Linked DNA regions of Rattus norvegicus. The protein of the gene in region 3 purifies or fractionates together with the protein of the main gene of each other region. This does not show direct contact. Links are inferred from orthologs where the notes say so. Each region holds a gene or a part of one and is shown on either strand. Other genes may lie near its edges.

Region 1 (4,300 bases), on a different chromosome or scaffold from region 3:
CGTCAGCTTATGTGATTTCACAGACGAGTCCTTAATGCTAAGATACTTGCTGAGTCAATCTTCTGTTTCAACAGGATTGATTCATATTAAGTAATGGTTTTGAGTAGCACAGATTGGAAGTCTTGATTAAAGTAGCAGAGATCAAGGACACTGAGACTCTCTTTTCATCTCTCCACTCGCTCTCTCCCACCCTCCCTCCCTCCTGCCCAGTGGTCGAGATACTCAGTAAGTGCATGCTTTGTCCTTCCCTAAACTTTCTTTAACCATTTCACAAAATTGGCGCATGTATTGAGGACACCGCACTAGGCGGTTATGCTGAGCCCTGTCAGAGTGTAACCTTGAAGGGAGGTCTGAGCCTCACCAACATTATGGGATGGGGAAACATGCGACGTGATGATAACCTGGAACAATTGTCCACGCCTCGCCTGTAATTAGTCTGGTGTAGGAGGCTCGAGTTAAGTTCTCTAACCTGTCCTAAGGTACTGTTTGGAGGAGGGGGAGGCAGGGAAGGTGAGACTCACTTCTAGAAGAGAAAGCCTGGTTAGAATGTGAAAAAGAGCCCCCATGCTCTAGAAGGTGGCCTTGATTTAACTCTTAAACTTGGTCAGATCTTGGAAACTTTAATATACAATAGTCATTAAGAGTGTCACAGAACTTTAAGACCCACTGCTACTCCTGTATGATAGAGCAAGGACATTTCAACACTTTCTTTGTGACAGATCTGCCTCCAGGTCTGAAATGTTTCTTAACTGCACGCTGCCGCCGCCCCCAAGTAATCTCTCCACAGAACAATAGCTTTAACGTAGGTTTTTCTTGTTTCTCAGTGACATTTCCTTTGTGAACTGTGTATATAATGTGGACTATCCTGAGATATGGTGCACTCTAGTTGTAGTTATTTTCTGCCTCCTAAAGGCAAAGCTTTTAATAGTAATGCTTATGCCCACTATTGAAATTACAAATTAATCTATGATTATTCCATTGCATAAATTGTAACTGAGATGACCTACTTTTGATTGCTGTAGGAGTCATTATAGCAATTTCTCTTTATTTTAAAAGTAAAACCTGAAGTAAATTTCTTTACCCTTTAAGAGACCACCTTCCTTCTTTTAGGTTAAATTATTTCTCTTTGAATTAAGCTAAGACAAGTCCTGTCCTAGGACCCAGTTAAGATGTGTGAAGGAGGAGGAGGAGTAATGGGAACTCCAATCGCTAGTTTGAAGATTCTGCAGCCAAGGATTTATTTAAAAGCCAAAAAGCCAGTCTTTAAAATCTGCTGTGTAGTTTGGACATGTTGGATATCATAAAGAGAATCATGTAAGTGGACATTTTACTGCACTCGCATGACAGTTGATGAGGATTGAAACATTTACATATGTGAATCAGCACTTGCAGAAAATTTAATATTAAGAGACTGCATTATGTTTGTTTTGTTTTAAAAGTCCAGCATGATTTCGTCGGCATGGCTCTTTTAAATCCTTCAGGGTATCCTTGTGGAGTTTATTTTTCATGAGACTAAAAACGGTATTCATTTTGGTAGGTCTAAGAATGTGCTCAAAAGAATCTTAGAGGTTTCAGTGTTTGCTGTATGTTGTAGCAAGTTCCATGTGGGAGCAATAGTGTGCAGATATAAAATTAAACGTAAACTTATTAGAAAAGTTCACCTTCATGCACATTCAGTGTCCTGAGCACTGAAGATCTTTTCAGAACAGCTCTGGTGTCCTGGGAATGCCTCTCTTCTGGTTGCATGTCTGATTCAGTCACAGAAGATTGTTAGAAACTGGCTTATAGAGATATCTAAAGACATAGTTTCAAGCCGTAGAGAGAATTCTTTCAGTGGAGCGGCTGAAAAGGCTAACTTTCCTTCAGGTTTACTCCTGTGTCATACACGGTAGACCACAATGTTTCAATAATTCTGTGGTCTGCTATTTTGTAAAATTGCTTCCTTTTGGAAATTTGTTTCAATACAGGGAGCTGCCGAGTCAATAACTTAACAATACTTTGATTAATTCAACATCCAGTTTTATTCTAGGGAAGTTCATGAGAATATTAAGCTTTCACTGTTTTTAACATCCTTATTTCTGTTACACTGGAAAACATTTTGATTAACATGAGCTCATTTAATTTTGTCTATTTCAAGCCATTACCCTGAGAGTTAGTTACACATGCCAAGTACTAATATTTACAGCAATTTCACTTTTCAATTTCTAGTGAGAGAAAATAGCATCATCATGATCTTTCACACACTGTGACCTAGGAGAGCTCGCAGCACACTACCCTTGTACCTTCACACTCAACAGGTTCACAGAAAAAAAGGACTTAAAATAAGGTAGCACTTACCCCAAAAGAAGTTTTGCTGACACGGTGTCACTGCACTGAAGAGGCTGTTTGACGCCATAGTCCCTCCTTTTTTTTCCAGATAGAACTTGTGCCCTCTGTTGTAAATACTGCTTGCAGCCTTAAACTGAAAATACAAACCATACCCAGTCCCTGTTTTAGTTGTACAGTATGCCTGGAGTACATAGACTTTATATTTATTTTTTTCTGTCAAGAAATTATGTAGCTGGTAACATGTGAAAAGCAAGGAAACAAAACAAAAAGGAGTGAGCAAACATTTGAAGGACCTACTATTACTGCATGGACTGTGCTCAGAGCACTCACTGACTCGGTTGGTCTCGGTGGCTGGTAGTGACCTGCAGAGATTAACCATTTAAACACCAGGGCCTCCTTGCTGTCCTCCTGGAGAAAGTTTGCACCGCACTTGTGGTTCTGTGGTTGTTTGTGAGGCGAATGAAGCATTCACACAATCCAAAAAAGCAAAAGCTTTAAAACTCCTATTTTTTGCAAGCACTATTACTGGAGAGACAGAATCATGTGGTTTGTGACCTCACAGTACTCAAAGTAAAGTGGGACTGCCTACCACTGTGGCTTCCCCCTTTCTCTCTCCCCTCCCTCTTTCTCAATCTTTTTCCTTCTCCCCTCCCCTCCCTCTTTCTCTTCTGTTGTCCTCTCCCTTCCCTTCCTTCTGTCTCTTTACTTATGGGTGCTCTCTCTCCCTTCCTCCCTTCCTCTCTCTCTCCCTTCCTCCCCCTCCCTTTCTCCCTCTCTGACAAAAGGCTTGTGGTGAGGCCTTCCTGGCATTCAGAAGGTTATAGCTTTTTAATTTTTGTGACTCATGAGGATTTGGATAGAATACAAATGCTGAAGGAGCCCACACTCCTGTAAGGTTAAGCACTTGGAGAGCAGAACTCTGCAGCTAAGGGTTTTCCTTTCTACCACCTCCCTACTCCCCCCTTCCCTCCTTCCCTCGTCTGCTCTTTCTTCTCTTTTCTCTACCCCTCCTCTCTTTCCTTCATTATTATGTCTATGGAAAAGTGAGCAAAACTGTTTCAAGTGAGTGCGGCGTTCTGAACAACTGCTGCTTCGCAGTGGGTCACATCTTGGGATTGTATCACTTTCAGGGCTGCTTCGGATTTCCCAGGGTGGCTGCTTCTTTCCTGCTTGTCTTCCTAAGCTTGTAGATCTGTAACTCATTGTAAAACAGTTTACCTTTCCAAAGGTCTGCTTGCAAACTCCTTGCCGGGATTGACTGTAATTGGCTGTCACAAAAGTGTTAGCCTGGGGATTCCTTTACAAATACTAAATCATGACTGTGTAGTTGATTTTTTTATTAGGTGGTAGCTCTTACAATAAAGATTAAATGTAATTAGTATCATTTATATTATTTTTACCATCATCCCTTGGTTACTTTGAAGATCTTAAAAAACAAACAAACAAACAAAAAAAACCCCAAAAAAAACAAATGTCAAGACCTGCAGGATACAGGTTGTTGGAATAGTGTTAATTTTCTGCATGACTGGATTTTATCTCTAAAAGAAACGTTTTGTATGATTCTTTAGTCCGCTTGGAAGTGACTGTAACAGGACTTTGGGCTTCAGCTCTGCATATATAATGAGATATTCAGTAGTTTCCATAGTTCAGAATAGAGTGGGTTAACAGAAACTGTATTTTTTTGTTTATAATGGAAGCTTTGAAATAAATTACAAAATGCTGTGTGTAGTAAGGAATAATGCACGCAGACAGAGTATGTTAGTCGTCTCGATTTGCTAATTCTGATTCAGAAGAAAATTGAAACCATCTTTGGGAAACTATCTCTTCTTTTGCCCTCTTGGACATGTATGTCTAGAGCTCATTTTCTTATTAGGATGATTATATATCATAGGCAGTGAATTTCACATTTATGAATAGAGCTTCCTGTTTTCATCAGTTGGGAGCGATGGAGGATTTTTCAACAAACATTATA
Region 2 (4,227 bases), on a different chromosome or scaffold from region 3:
AACTTGTGGCAATCCCTCTGTTTCTGGTTCCACAGTGCTGGAATTATAGGCGTGAATCACTACTTCAGCAAATATGTAATACTTTTCTTAAGTATAATTATGATGATGTCATCTTCCACTCAGAATCATCAAAACACGGCTTACCCGGCTAGGACTATAACTCAGTGGTAAAGCTCATGCTCGAGGCTCTGGGGTCAGTCTCCGCACTTGAACAAGACAATTCCTGTCGGTTCATAGGCTAAGATGCAAGCCTCTCAGCTTGTGACCTCAGGCCTACGGTAATTTGGTCCCAACCTTTCTATTTCACACTTTGAGGCCCTTTTCTTGCATGGCTCAGCAGCAAGCAGATATTGAGTATAAGATGTTGAAAATCCATTGGGAAGCAGAATAGGCATGGCCATTGCAAATGAAGCAATTCCCATTGAGAATTCTTTATTTCTTTTTTTTTTTTTTTTTTTTTTCTTTTTTTTTTCGGAGCTGGGGACCGAACCCAGGGCCTTGCGCTTCCTAGGTAAGCGCTCTACCACTGAGCTAAATCCCCAGCCCCGGCGAGAATTCTTTATTTCTAACTCATCCACATCAATTTGCCCTTACTCAGGTGCACCTTGCACTCCGAATGAGGCAAGCCACTTTCTTGTCTTTTTTCCCTCTAGTGAGGGTTTCCCTTAATTAGTTTAGATTGATCACTTTTTCTTTCTCTTTCCTTTCTGTGTGGTTTGTTTATTTTTGAGATGGGGGTTTTTTACAATGTAGCCCAGGCTGACCTGGAATTTGCTTTGTAGATGAGGCTGGATCCAAACTCGATCCTCCTGCCTCTACCTCCTTAGTGTTGGGATTAAACGCACGCACCAACGCACATGAGTCAAAAACAGAGGCTTTTTAACAAAAGTCCTATCTATGATAGGCCAAAGAGATAAAAATACAGCTGGAGGGGGAGAAGAAAGTGCTTACAGTGTGTGAGCAAGAGAGATGGTGATGCGTGAAAACTCGAGCTCTCCCTTCTTCATTTCTCAATTCTTTACCTAGGGGTTCAAAGGACCTGAAAAGGGCACACGGATGAGAAAAATGTGCTAGAGTGCACAGGGCAGGTTGATCTCAATGAGGAAGGCCTGCCGTAGCAAGAATTCATAAAGCCTCTTGCTCTGTCGCCCACAGGCCAGCCCGCGGTTGCCTAGCACAGGCTTCTGGTTTACTCCCCTCCCGCAGTCTAAGCCGACCTGCCTCCAGCCGCTCCAGGGGCCGCTCTCTGTCGCAGTCGCAGTTCCCGCCTCGCCGCAGAGTCGCCCGCTGAGCTGACGGAGGAGGGGCGTCCGTCGTGCAGGTTCCAGCCTTTTCTGGCGCCGAACTCCCGGACCCGCCCCCCCGCGCCAGTTGCCAGGGAGCGGTTGCCATAGAGCTGAGCAGTTGTCCGCGTGCGCAGGCGGAAGTCCCGGATTGAGGCGCCGCCATTTTTACTGCTCGGACGCGGAGCGAGAAGCTGAGAGAGTCGGAGACGCTATCCGCTTCCATCCGTCGTGCAGACCCTGCCGGAGCCGCTGCCGCTATGGATGATCGGGAGGATCTGGTGTACCAGGCGAAGCTGGCAGAGCAGGCCGAGCGATACGACGGTGAGTTGTGGGGGTGTCGGGGGGCTGGAAGTCTCGGACCCTCCGCCGCCGCCCACAGAGGCCGGGAACCGGAGACAAAATGGCGGCATCGTCTCCGAGCCTGGCTTGGGACGTGGGTCGGGAAGCAGGAAATGGCCTGCGGGCTCCCGAAGCGGTGGGAGTCTCCGGGCCTAGGAATTTGACCCCTCCGGTGTCCTTAGGTTGCAGACGCTCGCCAGCCAGCAGGCCGGGGTGTAGGGTGGAGGAGTTGGTTGTAAAATGGCGGCTGGAGGGGGAGGGCGAGTCCCCGGGCGGGGGAGGGGGAGGAGATGGCGAGTGCCGTCTCCCGCCGTGCAATCCCCACGGGAGGTTTCGGGATTGCGGCGGGGTGTGGAGGACAATTGGGTGGGGTGGTGTGAGAAATAGCACGGGTCACTCGGGAGAGGGCGGAATCTAGGAGCTGTAGCTCCGGCGCCTTTCAGGGAAATATGGCGGGTGGGGGCGGTGGCTTTTCCCCGGAGGCCCAGTGTGGGGCGGCGGCTGTGGAGCCTCACAAAGGAGAAGCCTCCGGAGCGGACGGCTTCTTTGGGCCGGTGGTGGAGAGTAGTCTTTGGTGAGGGTGGAGTGTTTGGAAATCACTGCAGACTATCCTTGGGTGGAGGCAAGCTGAGATGCTGCGATTGGATTTCTTCCCTTTGGCCGACACACCTTGGATTTGAGGGTTTGGGGAGGTTTTCGGCCTCACCTTCTTCCGGGGAGGTGCACAACCTCACTCATGCTCCGTTTGTTCTTACCCCGGATATCCCAAAGTTCCTGCGTTTGGCCCCCCAACCCCCAACCTTCACAAGCATGGAGTTCTGATGGATAAGAATACAGGAGGCCAAGGCTTGCCTTGACTCCTTAGTACTGATTGCCCTTTGCAGTGCCAGTGCCTCAGTTTACCCGTTTGTAAAATTGAAGACTTTACTATTCACACTTAGCATTATGAAACATAGACCTGTTGAGAAATAGTTAATTCAAATAACGTTTAGTAACACGTTTGGTTGACAACCTAAGTTTGGAATGCATGTTCTTGCTTGGCTTGGGGATCCTTACCTATTTTGAGCACTCAGTTGGGGCTTGGGGATTTTGAATTAGGAATGTAGAAGATTGTAGTTTTTTTTTCTTTTTCTTTCTGTTTTATGATTTCATTGTTCCATGAGTGAGGCTCGATCCCAGGGTTGCATGCAGGCAAGACAAGTGCTCAAATATTGTGCTACACCACAGCTCTGTTTTATCTATTTTAAGTGAATGGTTTTATGTACAAATTTCAGTAGTTACTCTTTGTTCATTTGACACCCCCCTCACCTCCCGGTGATGGAACGTAGGCCCTAGTATGTGCTAGATGAGTGCTCTCCTCTCAACTTAGCTACATCCTTAGCGCCTGCTAATTTGAATTCAGTCATTTTTGAGAATTTCATTGACATCTACTGTGCTTGTGTAGCCTAGGTACAAAATTCTAATTTTGTAACTAGATAACTGGAGTTAGGCAATAGGCCGTTAAGCTAGTCTTTAAAAATGAAAAGTCACACACATGGTTCCTGTGATTTAATTAATTGCTGTGTAGCTCTGGCTGTTCTGAAACATGCTATGTAGACCAGACTGGTCTTGAACTCCCAGAGATCCATCTCTCCTGACACCCTCCCCCTCCCAGGCTCCCCCCCTCCCCCCCGAGATTAAAGGAATGAACACTAAGACTGGGTCCTGTGAGTTTAATGTTTAGGGAGTGGTAGGGTCGAATGAGACAAGTTTTGGAATTAAGTGTTCCTCATGTTTTTTCCAAGTTAAACCATTTGCTTCTCAAATGCTAGGTCAGGCCCTTTTTCCTTGAATGCCAGTTTCTCCTGTGGTGACTTTTGAACTAGTCATACGTCTTTGCCAAAGTCACCACTGTTCCAGCATTTGGAAAGTAGAACAGCAGGCTTCAAAACCTCCAATTTAGGAAAGATGATGAACTAAATTTTGTCTTGCAGATTTTTTTTTTTTTTTTGGTTCTTTTTTTTCGGAGCTGGGGACCGAACCCAGGGCCTTGCGCTTCCTAGGCAAGCGCTCTACCACTGAGCTAAATCCCCAACCCCTGTCTTGCAGATTTAAGTTTGTACTGAACTAGGCTCCGGTTGGGAGCTGGAGGAGGTGGGACGGGGAATACTACTGCAGCTCCAGGTGAGCCTTATCTGTAGTGTGTTTTGAACCAGGAGAGTTGGCTGTAGTGGAGGTTTCACCTCTCACCTTCCAGAAGAGCCCCCCCCCCCCTTGTGTTCTTGGGAGGAAATGTGAAATTACATTCTGGTAATTTAGGCTTTATGTAAATATGATACCCCCAACCCCCCAAAAAAAGGAGGTATGGGGAAGCTTTTTGATTCGTTTCTAAGTCATTTTAAAAAGGGATTTGCAAATAAGATTGTATTTCCAAATAAATGACAAGTTAAACCATACTTGGGGTTTGAATGATGAAGATTTTTGACCAAAGCCTGGCCTTGTTGGCTATTGAGTGTCGTGTTGTAGAAAAGCCATGTGGTGACTGGCCCCTTTCAGACACTAGATGAGGGAAGGAAATAGGAAGCACTCCTGTGATTTGGTGTAAGAAAAGGGAATCAGTAGA
Region 3 (3,500 bases):
TTGTTTTGTCTGCATCTATGTCAGTGTGCCACATGTGTCCTGTGCCTGTGGAGGCAGAACAGGGCACTGACACCCCCCACCCTCCACCCCCGGAACTGGGACTGCTGATGGTTGCGAGGCAGTGTGGACGCTCGGAATCACACTTGGTCCTCTGGAGAGCGGCAGGCGCTCTCACCCCGTGTCATCTGTCCAACCACTTGTACTCCTTCAATTAATTATAACTAAAGACACTTTTCTTCCCAGTGGGTGTTTGCTCTTGGCCTCAGTTCTTAAAAATAGTTGTTAAGATTATATTTATCATGCATACAGTGTCTTGGGGTACACTCACACAAAGCCATGATAACACTGCCCAAACCTCTCAGTTCCTCATCATCTTAATACACGTTAGTGGTCTGCAAGGGGATCTAGCCTTTCCACCTAGCAGATTCCAACAACGTTTTCCTTTTTTCTTCCTTTTACCTTCCATCCAGTGGGGATGTGTCCCAGTGATGTGCTCTTAGTTATCTTGTTTACTATGTTGTCTTGGGAACAGAGAAAGAAGCTCAAAGCACAATCAACTACCCCAGCCTTCCTCAAGCCAGCTCACCTCCCACACAACAGAACACTCCTTTAAGGATAAATGGGGGCCTAGAGACCTGGCTTAGCAGTCACGGCTCTTCCAGAGAAACTGGGTTCAGTCCCAGTACCTACTGTGGCGGCTCACAACAACTTTAACTGCAGTTCCAGAGGACCTTGTAAGTCTTCCTATATCCTGTACACACATGTACACTTACAGCCAGGTATATATAGATACCTTTTTAAAATCCTCTAAAAAGAGAATTATTTAAACGTTTTCCTGGGGCATGGACAAGAAAGAAGCTAATAGCTTGAAGATTTGCCAAGCTCCAATACCTTACTTAATAAAATTATTTTCACCAACATAGGTAATAGACAGGTTCTGTGTAGCTCACACCTCCTCACACCTACCTCCAATCGCCAATCAATGGGGAAGAATACGGATGAGAACACCGACTCAGTAAGTCACTCTGTTCAATTTGTTTCCATATGTGCTGTATAAAAACCATACCTTTCCCTTCCTAAAAAGAGTGCTTTGTAAACACTGGCTCCTTTATATATACGCTCCTTCTCCATTTTCCCACTTGATCAAACTGTTCACTGTTTCTAAGATTTTCTGTAATTCCCAAAGATTTCATCTTTTCTATAAAGGCACAAAGATGGGTGGCAGAGTTAACCAGTGGATCCTTCCTTTGAGGCATGTTACAGGCTCTCCAAGAGAACAGGAAGTACATTTCTACATTCCGTGAATACTACCGTGAGAAGCAGCACAGCAGAAGCTGAGCACGACCTGAGGACTGTTGTGAGAAGCACTGTGTACAGTCAAAACCCAGGCCTCAGACAGCAAGATGGCTCAGGGGGAAAGGTGTTTACTACAGAACCTGATGACCTGAGTCTGATCTCTGAAGCACATATAAGGACAATCAACTCCTACAAGTTCCCCTGTAACCTCAGTATGTATGTGTACCCCAAGATAATCTTAACAACTATTTTTAAGAACTGAGGCCAAGAGCAAACACCCACTGGGAAGAAAAGTGTCTTTAGTTATAATTAATTGAAGGAGTACAAGTGGTTGGACAGATGACACGGGGTGAGAGCGCCTGCCGCTCTCCAGAGGACCAAGTGTGATTCCGAGCGTCCACACTGCCTCGCAACCATCAGCAGTCCCAGTTCCGGGGGTGGAGGGTGGGGGGTGTCAGTGCCCTGTTCTGCCTCCACAGGCACAGGACACATGTGGCACACTGACATAGATGCAGACAAAACAAAAATAAAATTAATCTAAAAACTATTCAATAAATGGATGAATAGTGTTATTAGAAAATGACCTTTCATTTTGAGAAGTTCTGGGATTATGAGATACAAGCATCAAAACACAGCCTAAGTCTCATAAGCATTTCCTGTATTAAAAAACAGAAAATGACTGCGTTTTACACTAGATTGTCGTCGTCGTTGGTAATAATAGATTAAGTGAGTTACTAAAAAACATACTTGGTGAAAACAAATTGGGCTGGGAGTGATGTTTTGTTTCTGCAATCCCAGCACTGGGGAAACTGAGGCAGGAGGCTCACTACAGACTGAGGTAGGCTGGAGCTGCGGTGAGTGACAGCCCAGCCTGTGCTATAGAATGTAACCCTGCCTAAACCAAAGACAACCAGGCCAAGAAAACTACAGCAAACCCAACAACAATAAACTGCTTGCAGGCTCTGTGGGAAGGGGCACACTCCAGGTCACTCTAGCACATTTACTGCATGGGAATAATTAGTAGTCAGGATTGGTTATTTTGTTGGTCGAGTTCTCTTCAGAAAGTGGTCATTGATGAGCTGATGATTTGATTCGTAGCCTTTGTAGAAAGTCTCTCCGATTTTGTTTTAATGTGGTTTGGTTGTGTGTGTGTGCCTCCCTGAAGGTTCTGTGTGAAAGGCCTCTCTCTCTGAACCCACCAGCTTCCGGAGGATTCTGCTTCTGCCTTCTATCTCACAGCAGGAGTGCTAGGATTACAGATGTATGCTATTGAATTCTGTGTTATATGTGGCCTCCATGGATTCACCTCATGTTATATGGCTTAGGTAGCAAGTACCTTTACCCGCTGAGCATTTTGCAGGCCCTTTAACTCTATTTGTATAGCTTGCCACTTTGGTTCCTGTTCTCTGATGCTACCCAAGTTCCTTTTGCCTTCGGGATCTGTAACAGTTGTGATGGACATGGGTCACAGTCATCACATCTATGGTAGCTTCTCAGGGATTTCTAGCTGACTGGCTATCCCCTTGCATGCTTGAGTTTTTCAGGACAGTCTTTGTTTCATTTCAGCCATGAACCAGAGGATCACTCAGAGTGCTCCAGTGAAGCAGCCCCCACCCTTGGCTCCCCAGAGCCCACAGGGAGGCGTCCTGGGTGGAGGCAGCTCAAACCAGCAGCAGCAGATACAGCTGCAGCAGCTACAGATGGAGAAGGAGAGGCTGCGATTGAAACAGCAGGAGTTATTTCGGCAGGTGAGACCACAGGTTAGAGCGCGGCCTTTGTCTTCCGGGCTTCCCCTTCCAAAAGTCTGTGCTTTTCATTGTAGCTTTAGTCAGCTGCCAAGGAATGTTGGTTTTGTGAAAGCAGGCCTGCTTTTGTCCTGTTCCTTGACTGGCCTTGGTTCATATGCATTATAATTCATGGTCCTACATCATACAGAGCTGTATTTATTATCCAGAGTGGTGGGGCACACCTCTCCCTCTCATCCAGAACTTTGGAGGCCATTGCAAAAAGATTAGGAGCTCAAGACCAGTCTGAGCTACATTATAATGTGAAGGCTAGCCTGAGCTACATGAGACCCTGTTTCAACAGAAAAAAAGAAAAGTACTGGGCAGTTGTCAGTGCAGTTGGGCAAAAATGCTTCTTCCCAGGTGCAGGCCAATTGCAGACATTGTTTCTGAGAGCTTGGCAAGTAGAACTCTGGACTA
Region 4 (3,500 bases), about 120 Mb from region 3:
GTTAATGTGTTCTTGTAGTAAAAGAAGCACACGAGGAAGGACTGACTGACCACTCAAGAGCAGGAGGCAGGGCTCAGTTCTTCTGTGGTCTTCACTGTGTCCTGGTGCTCGTGGTTAAAATGGCCGACGTGCAGCACTGTAGCAGTAAATTTCTTCTTAGACCATAAGCAATTTTTAACTCCTAGAGATAAATCCAAAGGTTATGACATTCCATAGTTAGAGTAGTGTTTTCTTTAAATAATTGGATTTGTTCTAGTACACATTTTTTAGAAAGTGAATTGTTGGTGTGTGGTTCTATAATGTGTGTGCTTTATGCAGTGATCTTAATCATAGTTAATACTAATTCAAAATTCTTATAAGGTGAATAAGGCAATTTTATCCCTGATGGGAACTTGGAAAGGAACCTTAATGTAAATCTATACTAGTTCTACAAGAGGAATTTACAGATAAAGTCACGTGATCTTTGAGCTCATAGATAACTGGAAAATACATTTAGAGAGCAAGAAGGAAAAAAAAAAAAACCAAAGAGAAATTGTACAGATTCCTTAGACTGGGTAAGGAGATGCGAGAGAAACTGTGAGTCCCACATGTGCCCTGCCTAGAGACTGCAGACACAGCAGTGTCTGTCACTGGTTACTGCCACCTGGATGAACACTTACACAGGTCCTCCTCATACTGTGGTTGGTTTTCTGAAACACCTTGACTTGGTTCCTGGATCCATTACCATTTTCCTCTCTTATGTTTGAGGTCTCTCCCTCAGTGTTTCAGGAGGATTTTGCAACTTTGGTTAATATTTAACCTAACATTTTTGGTTCTAAGTTTCATGGGGGTACCAGGTTAAAGTATTTGTGGCATCCCTTCCCCCCATTTTAAAAGCACTGTCTGTTTTTACTGAGTTTGCTTTTCTTGACCTTTTTCTTTTGACATTGAAGAATCTCCCACAGTGGCAGTTAGAAAGCATTGATTCCCAGGAATTATGAGGTTGGTCCCTTAAGAAATCGGCAGGGTGTGCCTAGAAGGGAGAAAGCAGCCTTTGGCTTGAAGCCTCTGCTGAGGAAAAGTTTCCTTTGAGGCCAGGCCTTCCCTGCTGCACTTCTGGGTGGACTTCCCAGGGCCGTGCTGCTGTTTTGGTAAATAATGCTTAGAATTCTTGCATTTTTGGATCTTTCTTTGACCTGCATATTGCTACTTAAAGCTGTCAGCTCTCTTTCATCCTGTTTTCATCTCCCTGTTGCTGACATTTGCCCTCCACCCACCTCCCTACCCTCCTCCTCTACCCTACAGGGCCTCTGTGAGAAGCAGGGATGATTCTTATGTACTGCATAGGGTGCTTTGTTAGGTGCTAACACTGGATGCTAATGGATTTTGTGTTCAGGACTCTAACATCTGCAGATACTGAGTTTAGAACATGATCTTTTCCCACATAAAATTATTATATATTGTCTTCCAAATAACCAGGTCAGCTTATACACCAGGCAAGATGGTGAGTGTTTGGGTCCCGCAACACTAAGGAGGAAGCAGGGACAGGGCTCTGCCTGTATGTGGTGGTGGCACCGCCTAGTCTCCAGGCCTGTCTGTGTTGGCCACATGAGGGAAGTGCTAGATACATACAGGGTTCAAGTCCCCTCTGCAAAACTGCAGTGAGCCTGCACTTTCCTGAGGGCTGGGGAAGGCAGCAAAGCAAGGCCACACCCCTTTTCCACACAGGAGTGGGCATCATTGTTGGTTAAAGATGGAGAGCTGTGCTCACTGTACAGAACTTTTCTGTTTTTCACTTTAGGGTAGAAGGCTCTGAGGTAGTGGTCCCCTCCTTTGACAGCTAAGTGTCACTTTGTACTGTGGACCCTGAAGCAAGGGCCCAACCTGAGCTTGCTTACATTAGCCTCGGAGGAGTGATGGAATCCAGATGTGATCCCAGCTCAGGAGGGTGAGCATGGCAGAGTGCCAGCCTGGGCTTCAGAGTGAACAGTTTCTCAGAAAACAGGAAAAGATCGGTGTGTTCTCTCTACTTAAACATCGGTCAATGGTGGGGTTTCTCACTTCATTAAATGTTGAAAAACACCATTGCATGAATTGAAAATGTAGCCATACCTAGAGGTCCTTTCTGTGTCTTTATCCATTTGCTGCTGTTGTTAGCTGTAGTGCTGCCTGCTGGGGCAGACATTAATAATAGAGTCTGGGGGTTGGGGATTTAGCTCAGTGGTAGAGCACTTGCTAGGCAAGGGCCTGGGTTCGGTCCCCAGCTCCGAAAAAAAGAAAAAAGAAAAAAAAAAATAATAAGAGTCTGTTCACAGAGTACTAGAGGTCGTGAGCCTTAAGCTCCCATTTCATCCTTGGTAACTTAGTAGTGTTCTTGAATATTGTATAGTAAGGTCAAAGTGAAGACATAACTTAGGCTAACATTCGCCAGTGGAAGACGTCCCACTGTTGATGGCAGGGGCGTCTGTCTATACCAGCTGACGTGGCACGGACAACATTGTGCGAACTTAGGCAAACCTCATCACAAGGGACTTCCATTTGTACTTCAGACTTTGACTTAAAGATATTCTGCTTCTTCAATAAGCTGCATAAACCACCATTCTGATCTGGTAATTGTGCTATATCAGGAAAAACCGTGGGTTTATTTAATAAAAATTTGGTGGTTTTTCTTTAAAAAAAAAAAAATCTACTGCCTCCTGGCTGGGATTTCCAGGCATCCTGAACCCATGCACAGCCTTCAGGGTTGGTGGTGCAGCTGGATTTTAACTAGTGCTCTCTTGGCTTTCACTAGAGAGAGGCCATTCTCTAGCAGCACCTGTGTCCACACTCTGTTTCTGCTGAGAAGAGCCCAGTGGTGATGGAACTGTGGCTCGTCTGAATTTTCAGTGGATGCCATGATGAACTGACTTGGGTGAGGTGTGGGTGGGAGGAGCCAGAGCCTAAACAGGCAGCAGAATCACAGTGACAGGTTAAAAATCAAGCTTGACTTGTGACGACTTGAACTGTGACGACTTGAATTGTGATGACGGAATCTTTTCAGGGTATCTGAAGCTCAGCGCACAACTGCTGTGACACCGCTTTGTGGACAATGGCTACTCAAGGTTTGTGAATCTCCTCAACGAAGATTTGCTTCCTTCCTGCTGTGTGGGGTGGGGTCTGCCTCAGCCCCTGCTGCTCTTGCACACTGGCTACTGGCTTGGTGACATAATCAACAAGCCACCCAATGGGATCTAGTGGGTGGGTGACTCTGGAGTCCAAGTTCATACCTGTTCCATGGGGCTCACACTGGCATCACCCTGCTCCCCACGGTTGCCTTTCTAAGTGTTCAGCAGGTCACAGCGGGTCCCGTCGCTGACGTCGTACTCAGGCAGCATTCTCAGTGCATTAACACTGTTTTGCAGCTGACCTCATGGAGTTGGACATGGCCATGGAGCCAGACAGAAAGGCCGCTGTCAGCCACTGGCAGCAGCAATCTTACCTGGATTCTGGAATCCACTCTGGTGCCACCACCACAGCTCCTT
Region 5 (2,825 bases), on a different chromosome or scaffold from region 3:
AGTTAGGAGCTGAAGGCTGGTCGGATGAGCTTCAAGGAGCTGCTCTTGGGGTTGTGGGGGAGGGGAATGACATCCAGGTTCATCCCAGAGCTAGGATGCCCCCCAAGATTATGTTTGGCATGGCCACGCTTGTCTTCTGAGTCAGTAGCATGTTTTACAAATCCAAACTAGGTGTAGCTGGATGGTTCAGGGCTTACCTAGCGTCTATGAGGTGTCACCAGCACCAGGAAAAACAAAAGGTTTCAACCTAAGTATTCTAGTCATTTGGAGTGAACCTGTAATCCTCAAGTGAGGCAGGCTCCACTTGGGCCCACCGAATACCCCACCTGGGTCCCTGACTGCAAACCTGGGCTATTTTGGAAACGGCCCAGGATTGGAGTACTAGAGTCCTAAGATAGGTAGTTAGGCTTTACAAGAGGATAAGGCTGTTGCCAGGTGCCCCATACAGTCTCCAGCCCTGGTGACCTTTATGAGTTCCAGGAATGGCTGTTTTTCCCTGGGGAGAGGTCATCTCCTGAACCTCTGCTTCCTCCAGTAGAGCCAGATCCACCGAGGACCCACAGCGGGCTAGGCACTGTTGGAATAGATCCATTCATAGAGCAGTGGACGCTTCATGTCTCCTACATCTAGGAAGGATTGGAGGTGGGGAGGGGAGGGAGACGTGGCTTAAAGTAGTCACTGGTGGGGCTGGGGATTTAGCTCAGTGGTAGAGCGCTTACCTAGGAAGCGCAAGGCCCTGGGTTCGGTCCCCAGCTCCGAAAAAAAAAGAAAAAAGAAGAAAAAAAAAAAGTAGTCACTGGTGTCAGAGTGGGCCCTGTGGAGAAAGTGACAATTATACAGACACTTAAGCCTTAAGGTTGAGAAGATCTATCTGGGTGAGCAGAGAGCACACGGGTGTGAACATGTGAGCGATGGTGGGTGGAGGTGTGGGGGAGAACAGGGCAGACTGCTGGGTCCTGCACAGGCCTTTTAAAGACACGACCTTCATAAGTTACGTGGGCCAAGTTTGAACTCTACCCTGCAGGCTTTTAAGCTGTCACCTGGCCAGATGCGTCTTGAAGTTGGACCCTTCGATACTTACTGATTGATTAAAGGATATGGGGGAGAGAGGGAGTGTTGAGTCACGGTGGCACAGACCTGAAAAGCTCAGCAGTGGAGTGAGGAGCACCAGCATCAGGGGTTCAAAGCCAGCCAGAGCTAGAAGAGACTACCTCAAAAAAAAAAAAAAAAAAAAAAAAGAAAGAAAACAAAAGAAAGAAAAGTGGTGGGTTTTGGTCTGAGCAGATGGAGAGGTCTTGACTGTTGGCTGTGGGAGGAGCAGGTCTGAGAAGGGAAGTCTTGGAGACCTGATGCTAAGGAACTTGTGGTTGCCCATGCAGCTCTGGGATCTGTGCATATGGAGATGGAATGTTTTACAGCAGTTGGGGGGGGCGTGCCAGCCTTCCCCTGTTCTCAGGGACGGGATGGGCTGAACCCGACTGTGGCCTCTTCCAGGAGATCATGCATGCGCTGAAGATGACCTGGCATGTTCCCTGCTTCACCTGTGCAGCCTGCAAAACCCCTATCCGCAACAGGGCTTTCTACATGGAGGAGGGGGCTCCCTACTGCGAGCGAGGTGAGGCGGGGCCTAGAGAAGGCAGAAGGACTGGAGGGGGGGACTGGGCGGGGCGGTGGGGGCGCCTGCGGGTGCAGACCCTTTTTTCTGTCCCTGTTACCAGATTACGAGAAGATGTTTGGCACAAAGTGTCGCGGCTGTGACTTCAAGATCGATGCCGGGGACCGTTTCCTGGAAGCCCTGGGTTTCAGCTGGCATGATACGTGTTTTGTTTGCGCAGTAAGCACCTCCCTCCTCTCCCCCTCCCACTCTGTGTCCCCTGTTCCTTACCACCCCATACCTGTACCACTGCCTGTGGGATATCAGAGAGCTTGGGGAAGGGCTCTCCTCCACCCTCCCCAGCCTCGTGCGACTGGACCGTCTTTGTCCTCAGATATGTCAAATCAACTTGGAAGGAAAGACCTTCTACTCCAAGAAGGACAAGCCCCTGTGCAAGAGCCATGCCTTCTCCCACGTATGAGCACCTCCTCACACTACTGCCACCCTACTCTGCCAGAAGGGTGATAAAATGAGAGAGCTCTCTCTCCCTCGACCTTTCTGGGTGGGGCTGGCAGCCATTGTCCTAGCCTTGGCTCCTGGCCAGATCCTGGGGCTCCCTCCTCACAGTCCCCTTTCCCACACTTCCTCCACCACCACCACCGTCACTCACAGGTGCTAGCCTCCTAGCCCCAGTTCACTCTGGTGTCACAATAAACCTGTATGTAGCTGTGTGCTGTGCGCCTCCCCGTTCGCATCAGGAATAGTGGGACTTGAGGTAGGAGGAGGATGCGGGTTTAAAATGTCATCCTTGGGGCTAAGCTTTTTCATCCTGGGGCTGTGGAAGCTTCATGATCACTGGGAAGAGTATACTGTGGACCCCATGCCTGGGGCTTACTGCCCAGGGATGTGAAGGAAGCCACTAGTAGGAGTTGTGGGTGGAGGGAGGACATGGCTGCCAGGTGAGACACCTGCTGCCTTCCACCACCCGCCACCTAGAGAAGTAGAGTGGAAAGAGGGTCACACTGGGAGGAGGGCACCCGGAGTGCTGGGCTCAAGCCTAGATGGGGATCTGGAATATCCGGGGGACAGTGTGGACACAGAGGTGCCAGGGAAAGACAGTGTTGGAGAAAGGATCCAGGGCTGAGTCCCAGGATCCCTGACAATGTTGCTAGGCATCTTCTTCTGTACCGGAGACCGCTTACTCATGATGTTCCCACCCACCTCACCAGGT
Region 6 (3,939 bases), on a different chromosome or scaffold from region 3:
TCTGAGTGTGGGGGTGCACAGCAGAGTCTCTTTGTGGCCCAGCTTAGAAGAGAGGCAAGTATGTTCAATTTGAGCTGTGGTTTGCAGTGGCAGGAAGCCCCCGCCCTGCGGTAGGCAGGGGAGACCGCAGGCGCTCCGGACTTCCGGACCTCGTGGACGTCCACCAGTGGCACCAAGAGGGTTTCCTAGAGTCCAGGGCAGGCACAGGCCACGACAGGCAAGCTGCTATTAGCTTGGCGACATAGCCTGGAATTTAACAGGAAAGGCACATAAGCACATTTTTACCCATCTTTAACTGCAGAGAGTTCCGGTCTGCAGGCACTGAAAATTAGTGGCGGTCAAATAGGAAGCAAGAATCATAGGTGGGCCCTTTAAGGCGCTCCGTCTCCTCTAATTTTTCTGACCCTCGTCGCCGCCCGTTGCCCCGCCCCCTCGCGCACGCGCAATCCCTCCCGCCTCCCGCGCCGCGGCCGACTGGTCCACCAGATCGTCTGCTCTCGCGCGCAGGGCCAGCCGAGGCGACGCCAGAGCGCCCGGCCCCGCCGCCCCGGCCCCGGCAGGTAAGGGAGTGACCCGGTCCTGCGGGCGCGAGGGGGGCGGCGACCACGAGGGCCCACGGGCTTCGGGATCCACAGCGCCGCACGTGTTCCGTGGGCCTCCGGCCGGGCCCGGCGCCGCATTTGTGGCCGCGCCCCGACCCCGCCGCCCCTTGTGGCCGCCACGGCTCGCTACTTCCACTGCGGCCCCTGCTGCGCCCCTAGACCCGTAGCCCTGCGAGCTCCTCGTGGCTCACACCTCAGGCTGGCGTCCCTGGGAGTGGGGACACCCAGCTAGCATCTCTCAGGTTTCCTTGGCCACTTGGCGCTTTCGTGCTGCCACCACAACCTTCACCCGTGTCCTAGTGCAAGTTTCTACCTGACGAGGGCTGACTGGTCAAGTGGGTTTTGAGCACTGTCTGGGTCAGCCAGGCAGTTGAGAGTACAGTGGTGTGAAGCCAATGGTACTAGGACCTAGGGGTATCCAGTAGTCCAGAGAGGATGGGTTGGAGCTCTTTGTTGGGTTACCTACTGCACTCACCTGAGTGACTGGACCATTCTGTCTTCCCATACTTGTGTACTCAGTGTCTAAGGCGGAAACAAGGAATCTGCATTTGATTGGAGGGAGACTGATGGCTGCTGCCCTTCCATGATCACGTTCCCTGTAGTGTAAAGCTGCGGTTGCCAGTTAACTGCCTCCTTTGTGGGCCGTGGAGGCCAGCTCCAAACCACCTGCTGAGGATCCTGCTTAACACACCTCCCTCCCAGAGCTGTCCTCTTCAAGTCCTGCTTTCCGGTGACCTTAAAACAGAACACCTGAGTGCTCTCTGTCTTGGACTCTACCCAGTGGAATTGGAAATTGGTTTCCTTTGAGACGGTTTCAGGTTGGTGCTGGCTTCACATTTAACTATGAATTCCCGAACCTCCTGAATGCTGCGAGGTAGATTGGCTAATGCTAATGTTCTTTCTTTTCTTTTTCCTTTTTTTTTTTTTTTTTTTTTTTTTTTTGGTTGGTTGTTTGGGGCTGTGAACTTATTAGAGCTGGGATCAAAGTGTGGTGCACACCCAGTGTCTTCATATGTTAATATTTGGCTTCCTGAAAGAATCAGTTTATAAAGGGTGGGATGGGATGGGCAGGGTTGGGTATCCTCGTGCTTGTTTTGCAAGGCCATTCACCCGAGGCTAGGTGAATCTCTTTATATGCTAAAAGACACTGCTTAGTTCCTCGAGACTTCCTACCCCAGAGATCTGCCCTGCTCCCTTGGCCTTTTATTTCCCTGAAGCAGGGAGATGTGGTAGGACTTTCTATCTCATTACTTAACATCTTCTCAGCTCCTCTTGCTACCTGTATGATCCACAAACATGTTGGCTCTGGGAACTCATGGCCATATAGTTGCGTTAAGCAGCTTCAGGTCAGGCCTGGGAGTTGATTTATGCCTGTTACACCAACCATACTGCGGCTATTGAGGCAGGATTTTGAATACTGGTGCATAGCAAGACCCTGTCTCCAAAAAGCTAAAAACACCAAGCAGCTGGTATTTCCTGGGCACAAGAGCTTTGCTTTGTGGAGGGACCCAGGCAGGGGACCTACCCCTAGTTGGATCCTTGCACCTGGGCTTGAGCTACAGCAGAATTTGACCTTGGTGGAGCAGGCTACACCTGTGCCCTGTGTGGTGGGTGTTACTGTTCCTTCCTAGGATTGAAGACTGAGGCTTTGGTCTCTTTTGGTGTTGTCTCCTCTTAGTCTCCCGTGGGGTCTGTGTGAGGTGTCAGGTTTAGTCTCAAAGCTAGGCTGTGCATCGTGATTTCTCCTTACACTGATGGCTGAGGGATCATGATGGCCAGTGATGTTTGCATGTCTTAGGAGCGCTCCATTGGAGGAGCACTAACTCACTTCCCAGTCACGGGATGGCCTGTAAACTGTAGGAAGTTGTTGCAGTTGCACTGCTGAAGGGAGTAACTGCTTTCCCTCAGCTCTGCAGCTTCTTCTGGTGCAGTTTCTCTGATGTTCTTCCTGCTACTCCTCCTGGGAGGTTTCATATGGGGGCGGTGTCTACTTTGCTGTACTCTTTCTTGTAGCTCTTTTTATAGTACTCTGTGCAAGAGTCCTTGAGCTCTGTACGCTCTTAGCATTGTAGAAGGCAGTTTGCAGCCTGTGAGGTCAAAGGGAGCCGAGGTGGAGGCCACCAGGTACAGACAAGACTCCTGTGTTTCCTCAAATTCTTTGGGTGTATTTTAGAATTTGCCTGAGTTTCCAAACTTCTGCACAGAAGGTCTACTCTTGTCACTTGGTCTGTTGTTTCTGTTAGAAAGCCTTTTAAAAACTGTATCAAAAGGCCCTGGGTTCGGTCCCCAGCTCCGAAAGAATAGAAAAAAAAAAAAAACTGTATCAAGGAATCTTTGAAGCAGAGCTCACATTCCGGTACACATCTGTATACTGCAGTGGGAAGCCTTCTTGAAGCTTAAGTCTTAGGCTCACAGAAGGTTCAAGAGTAGACCATCCATCACACAGAGCACCTGAAGCTGCAGCCTCGGTACAGTTATCCCCAGCTTGGAGCAGTTTATTTGTTGTAGGGTTCAGTGCTGCGGTCATGTTCTCCTTTTTACCCATTTTCTTGGGAATATTTTTATTTTTATTTTGTTTGAGTACAGTGTAGCTGTCTTCAGACACACAGAAGAGGGCATCAGATCTCATTATAGATGTGGTTGCTGGGACTTGTACTCAGGACCTTTGGAAGAGCAGTCAGTGCTCTTAACTACTGAGCCATCCCTCCAGCCCTAGAGTCACTGTTTTTTTGTGGGGGGGTGAGGTGGTCTTATGCATGTTAGGTGAACACTCTTCTATGAACAGCTCAGTCCCAAGAACCTTTTTGTTGTTTTGAGACAGGATTTCTTCTGTGTAGCCCTGACTGTCCTGGAGTTCACGCTTTTTTTTTTTTTTTTTTTAATATTCCTTCCTCTCTTATCTTTTTATAAAACACAGCACAGAGTATGCCTTTTTTGTGCGTGTGTTTTATAAAAATAAGGAGAGAAGGAATATGTTTGGTGGAGGAGAGATATGGTGTGAGGGAATGGTGTGGGGGGAGGGGGTGCCTCTGCAGGCTCATGCGGAGACATTCCTTCCCCTGAGGGACCAGCCACACAACAGTCAACAGTATATTGTAGAGTTTATTCAGGGCATGGGAGGGGAGTTGAGAGGGTAGCAGAGACCGAGAAAGGCAGAGATAGAGTTGAGGGATGCCAGCCATGAGCACATGGAGAGAGAAGGGTGAGGGGAATGGGGAGAGAGGAGTAAGGAGGGAGAGCAAGAGAGTGGAGTTCACTCTTTAGACTAGGCTAGCTTCAAACTTGTAGATACACCTTCCTCTGCCTCCCGAGTACTGGAATTAAAGGTGTGTACCAC
Region 7 (3,500 bases), on a different chromosome or scaffold from region 3:
CTTACGTGCCCTGTGCACTAAGTGTTAGCAATAAGAGAATTACCTACAAGGCCAAGCCCATCCTCTTGGGAAGGAAGCATGTATGAACTTGAAGAACAAGAGTAGGGATAGGTTTCTACTGAGTTAGCATAGGTTTTCTGGAACAGCCATAAATTAAGCAGATCAGTGGCCTGCTGTTTCCCAGCTCTGAAGCCTGGGAGTGGGACTGGGAAAATTTGTAGGCAAATGTGGAGTGTGCGTTCCAGATGAAATGCTAGGTGCTTGTATTCCCACTTGGTGAATGCTAGAGAAGAAAGAACAGGCACTGGGGTGTGAGGGGTAGGAGTAGAGGATTCAGTTTTGAGAGCCCTGAAGGTAATCTTGCCTTTGCTCCGGTGTCGGAGCACTGGGATAGAGTCCTGGGATGACACGTATGCATCATGCATGAAAGAGAGCGCTCTAATCCCAGCACTGCACTAGGAGTTTCGTTAGGTGTGAATGTTTGTGTTGTTTGTGTAAGTAGAGCAGGGGAGGAGCACCCTGGAGGAGTCTTTGAGGGATGAGCTATGGTCCTAGAGAAGGGACCAGGAGTGCAGGGGCCTGAGGGCTCAGCACAGGGTGGGTTGGCCAGTGGCCTCAGTAAGTTTGTAGTGAACACACTGAGGAAATGGCGTGTAGTTGATGTTGTAAGAGACCTTGGAAGCTAGCAAATTCTGACCAGTGTTGGCTCTAATGTAGGTCCTGGGCCCTTAGGACCTACCAGCTTTGGAAGCATGTCTGTGTCTGTCTTACTGGAGACGCTAAAGGTTCATCAGCGTCAAAAGCGGGCTGGGGCTGGAGGGTGGAAAGTATAGTTCCAGGGTGAGGACCCCACAAAGCAGACTCGGCTGCTGGTGAGAAAAAACAGCACTGTGGCTGAGGTGTCCTTAGGGGCTGTGAGAGACGCAATTGAAGTCCCTGGTCCTCTGCAGCTGTTGTTTCCTGTGGGGATCCCCAGAGCAGTGATTGGACAAGGACCTGGGCTTGGGATCAATCAGAGAAGAGGGAAAATGGTTCCCCTCTCCCTATCTCCCTGTGTGTGAGAGATTGACGGTGCAGGGAGAGGCAGGGCATAACCTTCAGATGTCAGTTTTCCCTTCCTCTGAGGGATCCTGGGTGCAGGATCCCAGGATTCTGCAACAGGTGTTGTTGTTGTTGTTGTTGTTGTTGTTGGTGGTGGTGGTGGTGGTGGTGGTGGTGGTGGTGGTGGTGGTGGTGGTGGTGGAAGAGGTGGTGGTGGTGGTGGTGGAGGTGGAGGTAGAGGTGGAGGTGGTGGTGGTGGTGGTGGTGGTGGTGGTGGTGGTCCACCAGTCTGAGCCACCTCACCTGCTCAGATCTGTGGCAGTCCTCAGGCCCCTCCCACATTCGAGGTTTATAGCGGTGAGCCCTGTATCCAGGCGACCACACACTCTCCTCGCATTCAGGGGCAGGAGGGTCCTGGCACAGGTCTGTGCTGGCCGATGCGTTCATGCTTGCTTTACTGAGTTCTTTCTCTTTAAAAGACTTTGGAGAAAAGTGCTCAGTTTTGATGATGTGTGGGATTTTCTTCCCAGATCAAGGCCGTTTGCCTCTAATTCCTTCTATAAGACCTTTTTTTCTGTGTAGAGGTTTAAATTTAGAATGTAGCCATTTTCTTAGGGTTTCTGAAATGCGTGTGTCTGTTATAAAAGGCTTTGTCATTCTAAGATTGTAAGAAAACCCAATATACATATTTCTTCCTTGGGTGCTTTAAATTTCTTTAGTTCACCTCTTGATCCAAGCTGTTATTGGCTGTGCCTCTCAGGAAAGCAGTTGGCAGATTTTGGTATATCTGTCATTGAACTTTAAGATCTGGAAGGTTTCTTGGTCATTGTACCTACCAGTGACCTTAGCCAGAAGGAAGAAAGGAGCTGGAAGCCGGGGTGGTGAAGGTTGACTGGTTTGTAGAGGTGCAGGTGTGGTGGGGCATGTGTTTCTCATTTACAAAAAGGAGTGTGAGACACAAGTGAACACTTTTTTGGAGTCTCCTACTCTGTCCTGTCTAAACCACACAGCCACCTTCCGGTGGCTGGCCTAGAGCCCTCCAGCAGGCACAGCCCCACCCAGTCAGGATGCCTGAGGCCTAAACAGCTGCAGAGAATTGATTCTGGAGCATAAACAGCTGCAGAGAACTGATTCTAGAGCCTAAACAGCCACAGAGAACTGGTTCTAGAGCCTAAACAGCTGCAGAGAACTGATTCTAGAGCCTAAACAGCCGCAGAGAACTGGTTCTAGAGCCTAAACAGCCTCAGAGAACTGGTTCTAGAGCCTAAACAGCCTCAGAGAACTGGTTCTAGAGCCTAAACAGCCACAGAGAACTGATTCTAGAGCCATTCCCGTTGGGTTTTCTCTTTCTCCTTCTTTTTTAAAGGCAAGGTCTTTTGTGGCCTGGCCTGGCCTTGAATTCTGTCATTGCCACAGATTCTACAACTGCTCTTGAGCAAGTCAGCCCATCCCAGTGTTTAAGCCACTCCTCCCCCAAGCCTAACTACCCCCTTGAGCAGCCCAAACTTCATTCACCTCCCTTTTCTGAGCAGAGATAAAATAGTTCTGTTCCCTCAGCTTTTAACTACTCCACACTCGTTCCTCCATCCCAGGCTTGTGCACAGTAAAGGCAGCATGGGCCTCACACAGACTCTGAAGCTCACAGCTCTCCCTCCCTCCCTTCCTGTGCGTTCTCGTCTCAAGAACCATTTTCCTTTCAGCAGGTCTTGCCTTCCATTCTGCTTACTTATTCAGCCAGCCAGCATTTACAAACTGTCTTCCTTCCATGTGCCTGCCCGAGGGACTCAAGGAGTGAAACTGGGTCCTGCATCTTCACTTTAGTGTCTCAGTGTCCAGTGGAAGAAGTGATTGGAACAGGGCGGAGTGTTAGACCTGCCTATCCTGTTTCCTTCTCACATACCTGAGGCCGGAACCTACATCTCTCTCTGATAAGGGATGCAGCTTAGAGGATGCAGGCCAGACTACAGACATTGCTGGTTTTCCTTTGGAATTCACCCACGAGGCAAGGCAGCATACAGGAATGTTAGTGTGTACAGAGTTGACTAGGGCATGAGTCTGCTCACACTAAGGTACTGTCAGGATGGGCTGTCCTCTGGCTCTAGGTCCTTATCGGGACACCAGCTATAGAAAGATGGATCAGATGCCTAGAGCCAGCGAGCTCTTGCTATAGTTGGAGTGTACTGACCAGGTACTGCTCTCAAATGCTCTAGTCCACGTTACCCTACAGCGTGCAAAGAAGCCAGACCTGCCTGTGAGGGGGCATTCATGCCCACCAGGAACGCAACAGAGGCCTCAGGTACATTACAGAACAACAATATGAACCCTGGTATTGTCTTCCTCTGCCCAGGACTGTGAAGGCCTTATCGTCCGGTCAGCTACTAAGGTCACTGCTGATGTCATCAATGCAGCAGAGAAGCTCCAGGTGGTGGGCAGGGCTGGTACAGGCGTGGACAATGTGG

The links.
Region 1: the proteins of Yap1 (region 3) and Runx2 purify together in Homo sapiens (affinity purification with western blotting; 4 studies listed by BioGRID and IntAct, with this or other methods). This does not show direct contact. The link is inferred for Rattus norvegicus from reciprocal best matches to the Homo sapiens genes YAP1 and RUNX2.
Region 2: the proteins of Yap1 (region 3) and Ywhae purify together in Homo sapiens (affinity purification with mass spectrometry; 8 studies listed by BioGRID and IntAct, with this or other methods). This does not show direct contact. The link is inferred for Rattus norvegicus from reciprocal best matches to the Homo sapiens genes YAP1 and YWHAE.
Region 4: the proteins of Yap1 (region 3) and Ctnnb1 purify together in Homo sapiens (co-immunoprecipitation; 11 studies listed by BioGRID and IntAct, with this or other methods). This does not show direct contact. The link is inferred for Rattus norvegicus from reciprocal best matches to the Homo sapiens genes YAP1 and CTNNB1.
Region 5: the proteins of Yap1 (region 3) and Pdlim7 purify together in Homo sapiens (affinity purification with mass spectrometry; 3 studies listed by BioGRID and IntAct, with this or other methods). This does not show direct contact. The link is inferred for Rattus norvegicus from reciprocal best matches to the Homo sapiens genes YAP1 and PDLIM7.
Region 6: the proteins of Yap1 (region 3) and Wdr5 purify together in Homo sapiens (affinity purification with mass spectrometry; 3 studies listed by BioGRID, with this or other methods). This does not show direct contact. The link is inferred for Rattus norvegicus from reciprocal best matches to the Homo sapiens genes YAP1 and WDR5.
Region 7: the proteins of Yap1 (region 3) and Phgdh purify together in Homo sapiens (affinity purification with mass spectrometry, with the first as the bait; 4 studies listed by BioGRID). This does not show direct contact. The link is inferred for Rattus norvegicus from reciprocal best matches to the Homo sapiens genes YAP1 and PHGDH.

What each region holds. Positions count from the first base shown.
Region 1 is NC_086027.1:23,663,558-23,667,857, reverse strand, and holds the start of Runx2 (runt-related transcription factor 2), read right to left. Parts: upstream 2,801-4,300; 5' UTR 2,797-2,800; coding exon of another isoform or gene 2,396-2,796; coding exon 2,338-2,395; intron 1-2,337. UniProt on the Homo sapiens protein: Transcription factor involved in osteoblastic differentiation and skeletal morphogenesis. Essential for the maturation of osteoblasts and both intramembranous and endochondral ossification.
Region 2 is NC_086028.1:61,081,507-61,085,733, forward strand, and holds the start of Ywhae (14-3-3 protein epsilon), read left to right. Parts: upstream 1-1,427; 5' UTR 1,428-1,543; coding exon 1,544-1,607; intron 1,608-4,227. UniProt on the Homo sapiens protein: Adapter protein implicated in the regulation of a large spectrum of both general and specialized signaling pathways. Binds to a large number of partners, usually by recognition of a phosphoserine or phosphothreonine motif.
Region 3 is NC_086026.1:13,399,438-13,402,937, reverse strand, and holds part of Yap1 (transcriptional coactivator YAP1 2), read left to right. Parts: intron 1-2,862; coding exon 2,863-3,044; coding exon of another isoform or gene 3,045-3,056; intron 3,057-3,500. UniProt on the Homo sapiens protein: Transcriptional regulator with dual roles as a coactivator and corepressor. Critical downstream regulatory target in the Hippo signaling pathway, crucial for organ size control and tumor suppression by restricting proliferation and promoting apoptosis.
Region 4 is NC_086026.1:129,531,076-129,534,575, forward strand, and holds part of Ctnnb1 (catenin beta-1), read left to right. Parts: intron 1-3,019; 5' UTR 3,020-3,067; coding exon 3,068-3,080; intron 3,081-3,380; coding exon 3,381-3,500. UniProt on the Homo sapiens protein: Key downstream component of the canonical Wnt signaling pathway.
Region 5 is NC_086035.1:9,142,632-9,145,456, forward strand, and holds the end of Pdlim7 (PDZ and LIM domain protein 7), read left to right. Parts: exon of another isoform or gene 1-1,261; intron 1,262-1,494; coding exon 1,495-1,615; intron 1,616-1,718; coding exon 1,719-1,834; intron 1,835-1,988; coding exon 1,989-2,075; 3' UTR 2,076-2,325; downstream 2,326-2,825. UniProt on the Homo sapiens protein: May function as a scaffold on which the coordinated assembly of proteins can occur. May play a role as an adapter that, via its PDZ domain, localizes LIM-binding proteins to actin filaments of both skeletal muscle and nonmuscle tissues.
Region 6 is NC_086021.1:31,234,607-31,238,545, forward strand, and holds the start of Wdr5 (WD repeat-containing protein 5), read left to right. Parts: upstream 1-1,139; 5' UTR 1,140-1,420; intron 1,421-3,939.
Region 7 is NC_086020.1:188,618,290-188,621,789, reverse strand, and holds part of Phgdh (D-3-phosphoglycerate dehydrogenase), read left to right. Parts: intron 1-3,388; coding exon 3,389-3,500. UniProt on the Homo sapiens protein: Catalyzes the reversible oxidation of 3-phospho-D-glycerate to 3-phosphonooxypyruvate, the first step of the phosphorylated L-serine biosynthesis pathway.